Caenorhabditis elegans: one gene and its partner. The protein of the gene in region 2 purifies or fractionates together with the protein of the main gene of each other region. This does not show direct contact. Each region holds a gene or a part of one and is shown on either strand. Other genes may lie near its edges.

Evidence for each region.
Region 1: the proteins of evl-14 (region 2) and him-1 fractionate together in Caenorhabditis elegans (co-fractionation; one large-scale study listed by BioGRID). This does not show direct contact.

The regions. Positions count from the first base shown.
Region 1 is NC_003279.8:4,951,304-4,959,911, forward strand, and holds him-1 (Structural maintenance of chromosomes protein 1), read right to left. Parts: upstream 6,365-8,608; 5' UTR 6,358-6,364; coding exon 6,136-6,357; intron 6,087-6,135; coding exon 5,505-6,086; intron 5,256-5,504; coding exon 4,347-5,255; intron 4,295-4,346; coding exon 3,945-4,294; intron 3,888-3,944; coding exon 3,668-3,887; intron 3,481-3,667; coding exon 3,199-3,480; intron 3,102-3,198; coding exon 2,753-3,101; intron 2,618-2,752; coding exon 2,496-2,617; intron 2,215-2,495; coding exon 2,008-2,214; intron 1,311-2,007; coding exon 987-1,310; intron 729-986; coding exon 507-728; 3' UTR 268-506; downstream 1-267. Other genes in the region: F28B3.6 (uncharacterized protein), read right to left, coding at 1-69, 132-166; mzt-1 (Mitotic spindle organiZing protein (MOZART) homolog), read right to left, coding at 6,554-6,661, 6,707-6,774, 6,824-6,851; enu-3.3 (ENhancer of Uncoordination), read left to right, coding at 8,189-8,248, 8,307-8,608. UniProt on the Caenorhabditis elegans protein: Involved in chromosome cohesion during cell cycle and in DNA repair. Required for chromosome segregation during mitosis. Central component of cohesin complex. The cohesin complex is required for the cohesion of sister chromatids after DNA replication.
Region 2 is NC_003281.10:4,309,591-4,314,897, reverse strand, and holds the start of evl-14 (Cnd1 domain-containing protein), read left to right. Parts: upstream 1-1,769; 5' UTR 1,770-1,773; coding exon 1,774-1,857; intron 1,858-2,010; coding exon 2,011-2,223; intron 2,224-2,272; coding exon 2,273-2,365; intron 2,366-2,412; coding exon 2,413-2,739; intron 2,740-3,267; coding exon 3,268-3,519; intron 3,520-3,573; coding exon 3,574-3,692; intron 3,693-3,749; coding exon 3,750-3,847; intron 3,848-4,020; coding exon 4,021-4,166; intron 4,167-4,219; coding exon 4,220-4,563; intron 4,564-5,196; coding exon 5,197-5,307. Other genes in the region: dcn-1 (Defective in cullin neddylation protein 1), read right to left, coding at 1-92, 918-950.

The sequences.
Region 1 (8,608 bases), on a different chromosome or scaffold from region 2:
TCGTAATAGTCATCGATCGGTCTTCTCATCTTTTTACGCATAAAGTCGCGCATTTTTTCAATATGCGATCTGGAAAATAGATTTTAAAAATAATTAATTTGATTCTTTAAATATAAATTAAAAATTCTCACCTGGCATCCTCATTTCCACCGCTACTGACTCCCATCGATGGTTAAACCTGGAAATATTAGAGAAATTAGATGAAAAATATAATAAACAGGAATTGAATAAGGTTGTCAACCCAGATTGGCTCGAGTTAGAATAAAAAGGTTACAGAGAGTTTCATTCAATAAGTTTGTAGAATTAATATAACGTCAATTGGGAACATAAAAACAGTAATGTATAAGAGAGAAGAGGGAAAAACGTTTGAGACCTTTAAATGCGGGGAACTGTGTGACTGAGTGAATCGGTTTTTGATAATTAAGAAATAATGAGGGGTAAGGGAATAGTAATAATGAAATTATACAGATGATTTGATAGTCGCGGTTGTCAAAAATTTATATAATTTATGTTGCAATCGATGGTGTTGGTGGATTTTCAGTCATTTCATTGAGACCAATTTGTTTGAAGCGCGTCAAATCGAAAGTGAGAACACCAGATGTTGTACAAGCGGCTGGATATGGGAAGATTCCGATGAGTGAGTCAGCTTTGTTGTAGAACTCTTCTTTGAGAGAAATGACGATAATTTGCATATGCTCACGAGCTGATTCACAGATGTACGAAGCGACCTGAAATTACAAAAAAAACGTTACAATCTTTTCTCGCAGGTTATACTAAAGGCGGAGTAAAATCGTTTTGAAATTTTGCTTAAAAGTTTGATAGTTTGATAGTTTTTTAGATCAACTATCAAAAATATGCAGAAAAACCGGAGGATTTACCCTTATTTTATAATTTTTGTGTTTTACAACAGTAATATTCGGTCATTACAGTCATTTTTCTATCTTTTGAAGCAAAATTTAATTTTAATGAACAGTTTAAATAAATACCTTTCCAATATTAGTATTATCCAAAGCAGCATCAATCTCGTCGAGAACGAAAAACGGAGCAGGATTACGTCCGTGAACTGCAAAAAGCAGTGCCAACGCGGCAATTGTCTTTTCTCCTCCAGACAAGTTATCCATCGGACGGAAACGTTTTCCAGGAGCTACACAATTGTACTGGATACCATCCAGATAGGGCTCTTCCATGTTATCAGCTCCGAGGAAGGCTTGAGCAGAAGTATTTCGTGAGAGTTGCTTGTAAATGTCATCGATAGTGTTGGCCACAGGATCGAAGAAATCTTGGAAGCGTCGGTAGCGATCGGTTTTTACCTGAAAAAAACAATATTTTAAAATCGATAAAATATATGAGAAAAGTGAAATTGAAGAGGTGTGAGAGATAGAGGGGACAGATTGAGTGACAATATGGGTACAACTGTTGTCATTTTAAAGTTATGAATGTCTATGTCTCTTATCTCTAATGTTTTTGTCACTTGGTGTCCAGAAGGTGCACATTTTCATTTCAAGGAATTTCAAGAATATTCTTATTTTCAGTATAGGAAAATTATCGCAAAAAAATTATTTTAATGAAGCGGTTTTTTTTTCGGTGATTCAAACATGTTGGTTCAACGTTTTTAATTTAAAAAATGTCAAAATGTAAAAAATCACCCGATATCTGTGAAAATAACATTTTTTGAGTACTTTATCAAATCTTTTGACTGAAATAAATGTTCTTTTCAGATAAATCAAGAGATTTTCTATACTTTGAAAAAATAACTGATGCCCACTCCTGATTTGAATCCATTTTTGACATTTAAAAAATAATGCATTTTGTAGGTTTTAAATATATATTTTTTAGCTAATTTTCTAGTTTTTATCTAGTCAAGGAATTTTTTTTATTTTGGCCCACAAAATTATGTGTAAAATCTAAATTTTTCAATGTCTAAAATGGATTCGAAGCTCTCCTAAACTTTCATTTTTATCGATACATTTTCAGATACTAAACGTTTGGAATTTCTTAATAACTAACCTTCTCGAACTGTTGCCGAATTCTCTTCGCCTTCTTTCGAGCATTTTCAAGTTCTTCAGTCGACTCGGCTTCTCGTTCTTTCACCTCTGCCATTCTCTGATTGGCTTTCAAATTCGGCGCATTCATTTTTGACACATTTTTCTGCAGTTCATCGATTTCCACATTGAGTCGATTCGACATTTGCCGTACACCATCATCGTCATCCACCTGTAATGCAAATCGTGTGAATCTAGAAATGAACTAAAACACGGAGGGGGGCAGGGCGGGGCGGGGTTGGCAAAAGAGCAAATAATTTTTGATCAGCAACCATCACTAACAGGACTGCTGGTTTTTTTTAAACCGAAAAAGTAGATTTTTTTCGTATTTTGTTTGGCTCAAAAATCGAAAAAATTTAGGGTCAAAATAGTTCAGAAAAAATAAATAAATTTTTGTTGCCAGTATTTTTTCGGTTTGCTCAGAAAACCGAAACATGTCTTGGCAGCACTAACATCTTTATATTCTCGCGGTAACGAGTCGTAGTTGATTTTGATGTGTTGCTCTCGTTGAATTTGCTCCTCTGATACACTTGGACCATCGGTGGCTGATTGAGAAGACTGAGAAGCTGTGTCATCTGAAATTAATTGGAACTTGAAAGGAAACAGGGAGACAAAAATTATGAAATATATATCTAAAAGCTGAAAACTGAATTATGGAAAAGTGAAAATGCGATTTTTTCAAAACATCAAAATCAAAATAAATATCCAACCTCCATCATCTTCCTCATATTCAACGTCAGCCATACTTCCTGATTTGAGTGGTAACGCAATTTGCCCAAGCTTCACAGAATGAAGAAGAGAGTGCCGTTCATATTGCTTCTTAGTAAGCAAACTTTCAAGACGAAGAAGCTCTTTTTCAGCCTTTGTAAAGTCTTTCATCGCAACTTGTGCAATTTTTTTGACCTCATTCCACTCGGTTTCCAATTTATGTGATAAGGCCTTCTTCTCTTCCAGCACTTCCTTGTCTTGCTCCATGGATTCCGTGTGCTCTTTCAAAGCGGCCGCCGCCGTTTTCTCTTTTTTCTTCATGTCCTTATATTGTCGGTCGATTTGTGAAACCTGTAATAAAAATATTTCAAATAAGGTAAACAAAACAATTTTAAGAATCTTAAAGAAACTGATAAGGAGTTTCTTTACAAAAAAATGAAAAACGTACTTTCTCCTTTTCAACTTCAACTTTCCGATTGCCATCTTGCTCGGTGACAAAGTCAATTTCGTAGGCCAACTTTTGGATATCATCGTCAAATGATCGAAGCTTGTCTTCCATTTCTTGCTTGATACGCATTTCACGATTCTCATAGTCACGAATCGATGCGATTCCAACACGAGTACAGAAATCAGCGAAAATTCGATCAGCCACTTCATTGCTCTTCGTTTGCAGAGATTTTAAAGTACTTTCACTGCGTTCAAGTTTTTCTTGACAATTCGAGATTCGCGGCTGAAAATATATCAATTTTTGCAGATTACAAATTTAAAAGGAGGTCTAATGGCTCCAAAATTTGCTCCAAAATAAATAAATTTTTGAAAGATTTTTGAGAATTTTCATTACGAAATTCGTTAAGTTGAGCACTTTTTGGGGTTATAATTTTTTTTTTCCAGAACCGTTGGTCACTAAAAATAATCACCGGAAGCATATTCATCTCCGCGGTCATGCCTTCAAGCTCATTTTGAAGTCTTTCCAACTGCATTTCTCGCATATTCTTCAGATCTCGCTTCATCATTGCCAATCTTTGCTCATTTCCATTAATCTTGGAGCGTACACTTTCCACTTCGAGTTCACGACGACGATGTTTCTGAAGATCCGCGATTTTTTCGTTCAGTTGGTTCCGCTTTTCTCGGAGTTGTCTGGAAAAATATTAATGTTTTTTTTTCAATTTAATAAAAAATAAAATAAAAACTCACTTGACAACTTTCTCGTCCCATTTCTTGGACTTTTGTCTCAAATCAGCAGAACCTCCGGACATAACTCCAGATTGTTGGAACAGAGTTCCGTCCATCGAAACTGCCTTGAAACGATCTTTCAGCTCTCCTCCACCGTATGCAAGCTGCTTAGCATCTTCTTGACTCTCACAAACTAATGCGTTTCCACAAACGAATTGAAGAGCTTTTCTAGCTGCTTGATGTTGAGGATTGATGACATCGAAGACGAGCTTCACTCCAGCTGGCTTTTTGATTTCACGAAGTTTTTCATTTAGTGGATTAACAACTAGTGCATCATTTGGAAGGAAGGTTTCTGGGGGATAACGGTGATCCTGGAAATTAGTTATTATGAATTGAAATTTTGGAAGTGAAAAAAGAACAAACCTTCAGATAAACAATTGCCTTGGCAGCAGTCTCTTCAGTATCACAAACAATACTGTTCATATGCTTCTGAAGAATCTTTGTGGTGGCAATGTTGAACCGTTTATGAGACGGTTGACAGAGATCGACAAGTCTACCATACACACTCTCCGGGAAATTCTTTTTCAATCCTTCAAGTGCCTCCGTTCTTCTTTGATTTCTTTCTCCTTCTGCAGAATCTCCAGAAGCTTCGGAGAGTTGACGAACGACAGCTACAAGCTCTTTGTTGTATTCCGCTGCTGCTGATTTATCAATAACAACGTCATTTTCAATCTTCTTAAGATCAGCTTTCAAGATCTTTGTCTCTTCTTCAGTTTCCTTGATTCTTTGAGCAAGAGTTGCAATTTGAGTTTCAATTCTTCGCACATCACCTTCCTTCGCTTTAACTCTTTCTTGATGCTCCTTTTGGCGTCGAAGCTCATGATTTAGAGAACTCTTATCACCTTCGAACACTTGTTCGGCCATCAATAGCTCTCTTTGAACCATTGCTGATTCTCGCTGAGCTTGATCTTTCAGCTGTCCGTACTCACGTACTTGTTCATCCGAAAGATTTAACTCGCCTCTTTGCATCATATCCTGAATCTCTGCTTCATATGCGGCCTTCTTCTTTTCTAGCTCTTTTTTGCTTTTCTTCAAATCCGCCAGCTGAGTCGAGTTGTTCTCTGCCTTACTTTCTGCAGCGGCAAGCATCTTCTTCGCAATTTCCAGCTTCTTGTGCTCGTGAGCAACGGAAACTTTCAATGTCAGCATATTTTGTTGCTTTTCAGCCAAATCCGTCTCTTTCTGATCGAGTTTTCTTGTCATCTTCTGAACCTCGCGGAGAGCTTTCCGGTGCTCCTGATGAACCGCAGCGATTTTCGCTTCTTCTTTCGACTGTAATATATAATTTTGATTATTTTTATATACTATAAATCAATCAATCAAAATTTTACGATAAAATATTGAACAATATTAGCTTCACCGGAAAATAACTTTTGTATAACTTGGAAGAACTGCTTTTTAAGTTGTTCCAAGTTAAATAAGTAATTTTCAGATAAAGAAAATATTTTTCTAAAGTTTATCACAAAATATGAATGAAAAATATTGGAAGAACGTCATTTAGTAGAATTGCCTTCATCATACCCTAGTTGCTTCGAGACTTGCAATCGTCTTTTTCTGAGCGTTGATCTCCTCTTTTGATTCGTCGATCGTCCGTTCGCAATGGAACAATTGATGGAGAAATAGCATCGTCGATTTTGCAGCCAGCTCATTCTTCATGGTTTGATACTTTTCAGCTTCATCTTTCTCCATTTTTGCCTCACGTTTCTCTTGAGCGATTCCTCGTCTCTTGTTCATATTGTGTTGAGTATCATCTTCAGCTTTTGTCATCTCAACTTTCAATCTTTCATACTCTGCTTGAAACTCGTGTGATCGTGAGAGCTCCTCGAAGAGTTGAGTACGTTCTTTTGGAGTTTTCATGGCAATATTTTCGATAGCTCCCTGATATACCAGAAAGTTTCTTGCCTTGATGAAGATATTGATACTTTCCATTTCTTGTGAATATGCTGCACTTGTGACAGTTTGACCATCAAGAAGATGTTCAGATGTTCCATTATTGACGCCTCTGGTGAATGCCTTGACTTTTCCGTCAGAATATTTGTAGTTCATAGTGACACGACATTTCTTAGCAACTGGCTTGTTAATTGGTGCACCATGAATCAAATCCTAAACATTATTGATTAAAATCTTCTATATTTTATACTTTTTCTCTTACCGCATACTTTCTAACACGCAAACTGCTTGGCTTCTCTCCGAGCACGAACGAAATTGCGTCCATAAGATTTGATTTTCCTGAACCATTTGGTCCAATGATAGCTGTGAATCTTGTAAAGGGTCCAATAGTATGTTTTCCCTTGTAAGATTTGAAGTTTTCGATCTCGAGTGTGTGGAGAGTTCCTTTGCCTGGAAAACTATCCAGCGAGCTTCCGCCACGCATTATTAGTCTGAAGAATTAAGTAAAAAGTTATAGTTGAACAAGAATAAGAATGGTGAGGTAATTTTTGGTAGATAAACCAATATCATACATGGAATAAATAAAAATAGATAATAATGAGAAACCAGTTTAGTTTATTTTAAAAAAAGTGAATATACATTATGACCAGGTTTGCCGATAATTTGAGGAGCTGATTAAATCATGACAATGCATTTTCCCGATTGCTTGGTGAACTCTGTGTGCTGGGAGTTCCAAGGTTTTGAATAAGACGGACAAGGTTCAACGGTGAAACGCCCAGTGATAGTAACTGAAATAAGTGAATAAAATACTGGGAAAATCGATAAAATCTCACCCTCTCCACTGACGAAACCTGCTCAGCTGTGAGGAAAACATTTAGAAATTTTCCCATTTCAACAATGCCTGTAAATGTAAAAACATTATCGATTTATATTGAAAAAATTCAACTTACGCTGGGTGTGTTTCTTTGGGTCGCTCATAATCGATAAAATAACGGGGAGATAAGTGAAATTGATGATCCTTAAATAGAAAAATATAATTTCAATCCGTTGTTGTCAGAAATAACAATAATAAAGCATAAATTATCGAAAAATCACTTAGTATCGTTAGATGAACAGGTTCAAATTTGAAATGTGAGGACGCTAAACGAAACGCATAAATGTTACTGCGGAGTGTCGTAGTGTTGTTTTTGGAGGAATATTAAAATGAATTTCTTGCAATATTTCGTGATAAAGATGGTACAAAAGGTAATAAAAACAATAAGAAGTTAGTATTGAAAAGTTAAAGATTATTAGAGAAAAAACAACAGAGAATGTTGTAAAAGAGCATTCCTAATGCCACGCTGATTCAAAAACTCTGAGTTAGTACGCGGAACTTGCTGAGAACATCAATAAAAAATACAATTTTCAATAAGAAAACAACTATTTACATAAAGCAACAGATCGAAGAGAAGTAGTTAAATTCGTCAAACCTAGTGTAAATTTTTGTTTTTTTTTGCATGGTAGAGTCAATTTTTTATTTTTCTGATAGTACTAAATTAAAAAAAACAACGAAATATGTGAAGGAAATCGCAATGAATTGAAAAATTTCTCTGAAAGGCTGCCGTAAATATACATTTAAAGGGACACAGACTCAGTCGTTCGGGTCTCGCGGCGATTTTGGAAGTCACGTTTGAGGCCCCACGAAAAGGGGAGCAGAACGAAAAGGGGATCTGCGAAAAGGGGAGATACGAAAAGGGGAGATACGAAAAGGGGAGCAACGAAAAGGGGATCTGGCTGTGCCAAACGCTATTTTTCTCGAAGAAAACGATACAACGATGCTCCGATGTTACGCGTCGCGTGTTGTTAAGCGTATCTTCTAGAAGAAAATTTCAAAAATCAACGTGCGTTGCGTGAGAAAAATTGCGTTTTGTGCGTTTGGCACAGTGCCAGCTCCCCTTTTCGTTGCTCCCCTTTTCGTATCTCCCCTTTTCGTATCTCCCCTTTTCGCAGATCCCCTTTTTGCAGATCGCCTTTTCGTTCTGCTCCCCTTTTCGTGGGGCCTCCCAAAACAGGATGCAGTGACGGGACCTTTTCGCAACCACCGCACACTTTTTTCGCAAGCCTCGCACGTTTTTCTTTTGAAAAAATGCAACAATATCATGGAAAAAACGTGCGAGGCTTGCGAAAAGAGTGTGCGGTGGTTGCGAAATAGGCCCCGCCCCTACTCACGCGTGGCCACGTGGCACACGTGGCACACGTAGCGATTGAAATAAACAAATTATAACTTAAATTAGTTTGTGAAATCGGTTTCTCTCCGACACACGCGTCACACAAAAATGCGTATTTTGCGTATTTTGTTTTCATTGGTAATCTTCGGATTAATAGTTCATGTATTGGTGAGTTTTTTAGACATCCTTCGATTTTTCTAGACCATAATGTTTCACCATTTTTCAGCCAACAACCACCACACCAAATGTGCCTGTTTCCGCCGCTACGAACACTTCAAACGTGACCGCTCCTGCCGGCAATTCGACAAAAAGTCCTAATGCGACCGCTCCTGCCGGCAATTCGACGAAAAATGTAAACGTGACCGCTCCTGCCGCCAATACGACGCAGCTTGCTCTTGTGAGCTCGGCGAGCCCTCAAACCTGCAAAAATGGAAACGGCACACACTGCCCGTCATGTGCATACACGATCAATGTTCACAAGGACACGCCGAAGTACATCGGATATGGCATCCTGATCGCCTTCGTCAT
Region 2 (5,307 bases):
GTCATCGCGTATTCGATATTCCAATTAGCTTTTGCCAGGAAGTTGAGAGACACAGCTTCCGTGACCTGAGTCCACTGGACGAACTGCCGGAGCTGGAAATGGTATCAAATAATAATTATGATATCATTATTTAAAACATTTTTCATTTTCTCAAACTGTTTTCTCTCTCTCACTAACAGTTTCTCACACTTTCTCTACAGTCAGCAACTGATGTCTTATCACTAAAAAGGAAGAAATCAGGAATTTCAAAACGAAAAAAATCAATAAAAGTGAGAATTTAAAAAGTGACTTCGATCGGAAATGGGAAACCGTTGATCACAATTAGAACTACTAAAAATTTTAGGATTGAGCGAAAACATTGCTCAGCTTTAAAAAATGAGGAAAATTGATATTTCATAAACCAGCAGCAGTGATTAGATTGTTTGAAGAGACGCAGGAAAATCGCGGGCAAAACGCTCTGCTCGCCAAAGTTGGGTCTCGTTAGGTATTTGGCGGGAAAACCTCGAAATTTAATATTGGAGCGCGTTTCCACGTAGATTTAAAAAAGATACATTTTTCTGCTTTGGGTCTCGCAACGATTTTGAGAAAAGTCAGCTTTCTAGATGAGCTAGAATTTGTCTAGTCAAGAAATAACAAACGAAGCAGCAAGATGTGGCAAAATTAGTTTTTTTTTCGAAATTCCCGCTACAACTCACGATATTATCGTAGTTCTTGGGAAAAATGTCAGAAAGAACAGTGCTTTGAGCTAGAGAACTCGAACTTGCTCGAGATAAATGCTGAAAAAGAGAAAAACGGGAATGGATGACGAATGGAATTTTCACACGCACAAATTTACTGTTTTCTTGTTTTCTACACTTTTTGTGATCAGTTTCCATATCACTCATCTCCACTTCATCGTCTTGTTTCCGTTTACAAACCTTTGTTTTTTGATCGGACTTCAGTCGATTCATTGTGTAGACGTAGTGGTTAGCCTGGAAAATTCATTGTTTTAGTGATTTTAAAATTAAATCTGCGTAATTTCGAAATTGTTAAACGACAAAAAAGATACAACTTTTCGAAACAAAACTGATAAGCAATGCAGTTAATAATTTCAAAAAATAAAGCAATTTAATAACGCAAAGAGAAGAGGGAAGGAAGAAGAAACGAACAACAACGCGGTCGATTAACGAATCAATAGAAAAATACGGGAAAAACTATAAAATGGTGAGCGATAGAGGAAACCACGAGAAAACGCTGCAATGTAATGCAGATGTGACGTCATACACTTTGTTTAGCGGGAAACGGAGTGTCGTATTGATTTCGATTAACGTCGGCGTCTCTCGAAAAGAAAACTGAAGAAAATCAACATAATTTTGAATTCCATTGAAAAGGAATATATTAGAGATAATATTTACTACAGCATCGCTCATTTAAAAAACATTTTTCTGTAACAGAAAGTGAAGTTTTATTGAATTTGTATTATTTTCAATGATTGCAAAGTTTTTTACATATTTTAATATGTATATACAATTTAAAACATGACAATTTTAATTGAGAAAAGCGGAACATTTAAATAATTATACAAAATTGAGAGAAAGCGTGAAAAAGCATTTGAAACAAATTTTGGCGCGCGCTTGAAACATTTAAATCTCGGCGAGACCCGTTTGTTCCCACTGCCCATGCTCCTTTAATACAGTATCTCACACTATTTTCAATTTAATTTCTTTTCTATTTCTCCATTTTCTCCATTTTTTCGACAATTTTTATTGAATTTTTGCTTCCAATTTCAGTAAAATGAGCGGTGATGTGGATTACCCGCAAGGATGTCTTCCAATTCTTAACTCAAATAATGTGACACAACAAATTGAACGCTTACGAGTGAGTTTCAGAAATTTCAACAAAAAAACAACTTATTTTGAATCTAAATTGATGCCTTTAAAGAAGTTGAATATGAGAAATGAATTATTTTTTGATGAAAAGAACGTTAAAAGAAATGATTAAACATTATTTAAAAAAATATATAATTTTCAGAAACTATTTAACTGTCTCCATGACTGCAAAACAAACAATAGCGAAGAAGTATCGTCTCCGAATCGATTCGCAAGGCTTTTCCAACATTTATCACAAGAATGCTTCCTTGACAATTCAAATACAGATTTTCGGATCCTTCTTTCACTTTGTCTCGCGAATATTCTGCGAATCTTCCAGCCAGAGCTACCGACGCCAAGTGTAATGGATTTAAAGGTTAGAATTCAAGTAAATTATTGATTTTTAATGAAATTTTCTGTTTCAGGAGGTTTATATCTACCTTTTCCGTACCATGCGAGGACTCGGAGACGTTACTCAGGATAGTCCGAAGTTTAAAAATTACTTCTCGTTGGTTGAGGTTTGCTGTAGAAATTCTAGCACCAAAAAATAATTATTTATATTCAGACAATGGAGAAAATCATTCCACCAATCATCGAAATGAAGGATCACGATGATAAAGAAGCAACTCCGGTGTTCCGAGCGTTGATCAAGGATATTCTGGCGATTCCGTGTGGAAAAGGATGGAATCAGAATCTGAAAAAAGAAGCGCGACTTTTGAAAATTCAAGAAAATGACGATGATTCAATGAATGATGACGAAGAAGATGAGAATGCCGCCGAAAAAATTCGGAAATCTTTAATTCAAATTGCAACGACAGTGATTACTAATTTGGATTTTGTTCAGAACGAGTGCCTTGATGTTTTGTTTTATCATATTATTAATCCACAGAGAGTAAGTTTTGTGGAATTAAATAGGGAATTAGCGTTGAAAACAAAAAATAGCCCCAGAATATTTAAATTTATGAATATGTCCCTTGAAATCGGCCGAAAATTTTAAAAAATCATTTTTTTTCCCTATTCCGCGTATTTTGTCGTTTATTCTAATGCTTATTTTGTTGATTTGCATATTTTCATGTCTACAAGAAAATTTTTTTCAAAATTTTCAAATTATGGATTCCGTCTGATCGAAAAGTGCGTGAATCAACAAAAACAGAAGGAATAAACGACAAAAACTTGCGAAATGTACAATTAATTTCATAAAAAATACCATCTTTTAATCACTACGACACGAAAATAACGGCGTAATTTAAGGTTGTAACTGAATTTAGAATTTATTGCAATTATTGAATGATTTTTCAAAAACCGTTATTTAAAGTTTTTGGAAAAAAAATTTTAATGCAAAACTATGAGAAAAGTATGAAAAATTCTCTTATAGAATACCCTTTCAGAATATATTTCCAACAAAAAACTTCAATTTCAGAGCAATTTCGCAGAAGCACGTGCACTGGCAGAAGATATCATCCGATCCTGCAGTGATAATGAGTCAGACACTTTAGCAAATTCCATTCGAAGTACAATGACAGCAGCCGCAAAAGAAGGGAAACTTCCAGAAGAATTCGAGTTAACTGGTTCCAGTAATCGAAGTAAATTCTTTGAAGTACTCCGTTATCTTCACTACGTATCATTTGATTTGGTGTCTGGCGCTATTCAAGAACTCAAATTTTGGCTTCAGGTAGGACAATTGAAAAAAGGAACTTAGTAGAGTACTCATCAAATCATTTTTCAGTCAGAAAATGAGCAGTACCGAAAAGAAGCAGTGACAGTCGTTGGAATGTTGACACGTGACAAACATTGTCAATTCGGAATGGATTCAAATGATCCAACATGGAGTGCTTTTTTGAATGCGTTAGTTTTTTAATTGTAATTAAATTATTTTGTCGAATTTTTTGTGATTTTTTTCAGGTCTATCGATCAAGATGATAGTGTTCGACACGAATTTGTGCAACAATCGAAAGATATTCTAATTTCGAATCATTCACATCTCAGGGGACAGATTATTAGTAGGTTTTCGTGAAATAAAAACTATTTTTTCTCATATTGGATAAAAGCTAAAATTGAATTTTCACGGTTTTGAAAGTTGGTTTTTTAAAAAATGTTTTTTCATGTTTTTTAGTGAAATTTTCCAAATTCAAGAAAATTTTGAATTTTTCTAAAGTAAAATCCCCATTTTCAGATAGCCTGCTACGTCTCTCCGTTGATTTAAATGACGATATTCGACGAGATGTTGTAACTGGAGTTACTGAAGTGGCAAAAACGAAATTAGAAGTTATTAGTGATAAAATGCTAAAGGCCTGTGCCGAGCGGATGAAGGATAAAAAGGTTTTTTATATTAAAAAATCTAATTAAAAAAGCGAAAACCCTAAAAATTCCAGCCAAAAGTCCGAATTCAAGCGATCAAACGTCTAATGGATCTTTATAATCATGTGATGACGTCATCACCTCAACCATTTTTCTCAAAAGATGGAAGTTGTGCACCAAAAGATTCAAAAGAAGCGACATTATCATATACTGAATCAGAAAAAGAATCAGTTCGATTCATTTCAACGGCAGTTTTTAATGTTTATAGATTGACACAAAGATTGCCAGCTTATCACGATGCAAGAGCAATTATCGAAAGATATTTCCAATTATATCTTGTTCCGTACAAAGTTGAACCAAAATTGAGAGTTCGATTAATGGCGGATTTATTCAGAAATCTTGATGATATTGGATGCATGTACGTTGATATTTTTAGAATTTCTAAAAAAAATTTCGTTCTAAAACTATCGAAAATAATTCTAACAGTGAAAAAATGGGTTTTTACGGGATTTTTTTTGTTGCAAAAACTAATCCGAATTAATTTTGAATTGCCTAAAGAAGGAAGTTTTCGATTTTTCTATTATCCGAAAAAATCAATATTTCATCAAATTTTGTTTATCTCGATGAGAAAAAAACATAAGAAAACATTAAATTTTATTCTAAAAAAAAAAAGAAAAATTGCCAACATTTAAAGATATTTTCTAGTTATTTATATTATATATTTAGTTAAAAAATTTTTTTTGAATTTTTGAAACTTTTTTTTACGGAAAAATGACCGAAAAGTGTTGTGAATTTCTCAATTTACCAATAAAATTTTTATTTTTAACCTTAAAAGGTTATTTTCTGTAGGGAAATGTGAAAAGTTTGAAAAAAAAATAACCAGAAAATTCCAGAAAACAAATGAAAATCGAAAAATGTATCGCAAAAAATTCAGTCTTTCAAAGAAAATTGGGGAATTTCTTTTTTTTAAATTTAAATTTAAGTCTTTTTATAGCTGAACACAATCCCCATTCACAATACTCAATTTTTTACGAAAAATTCGTTTTTTTAGGTTATTCGGAGACATAATCAATCGTTCCTCTCAACTTCGTCGTGCGATGATCGGAATTCTGAGCCAAGTTGGACAATTCACAGAAATGACAACTCAATCATCAGCTCAATT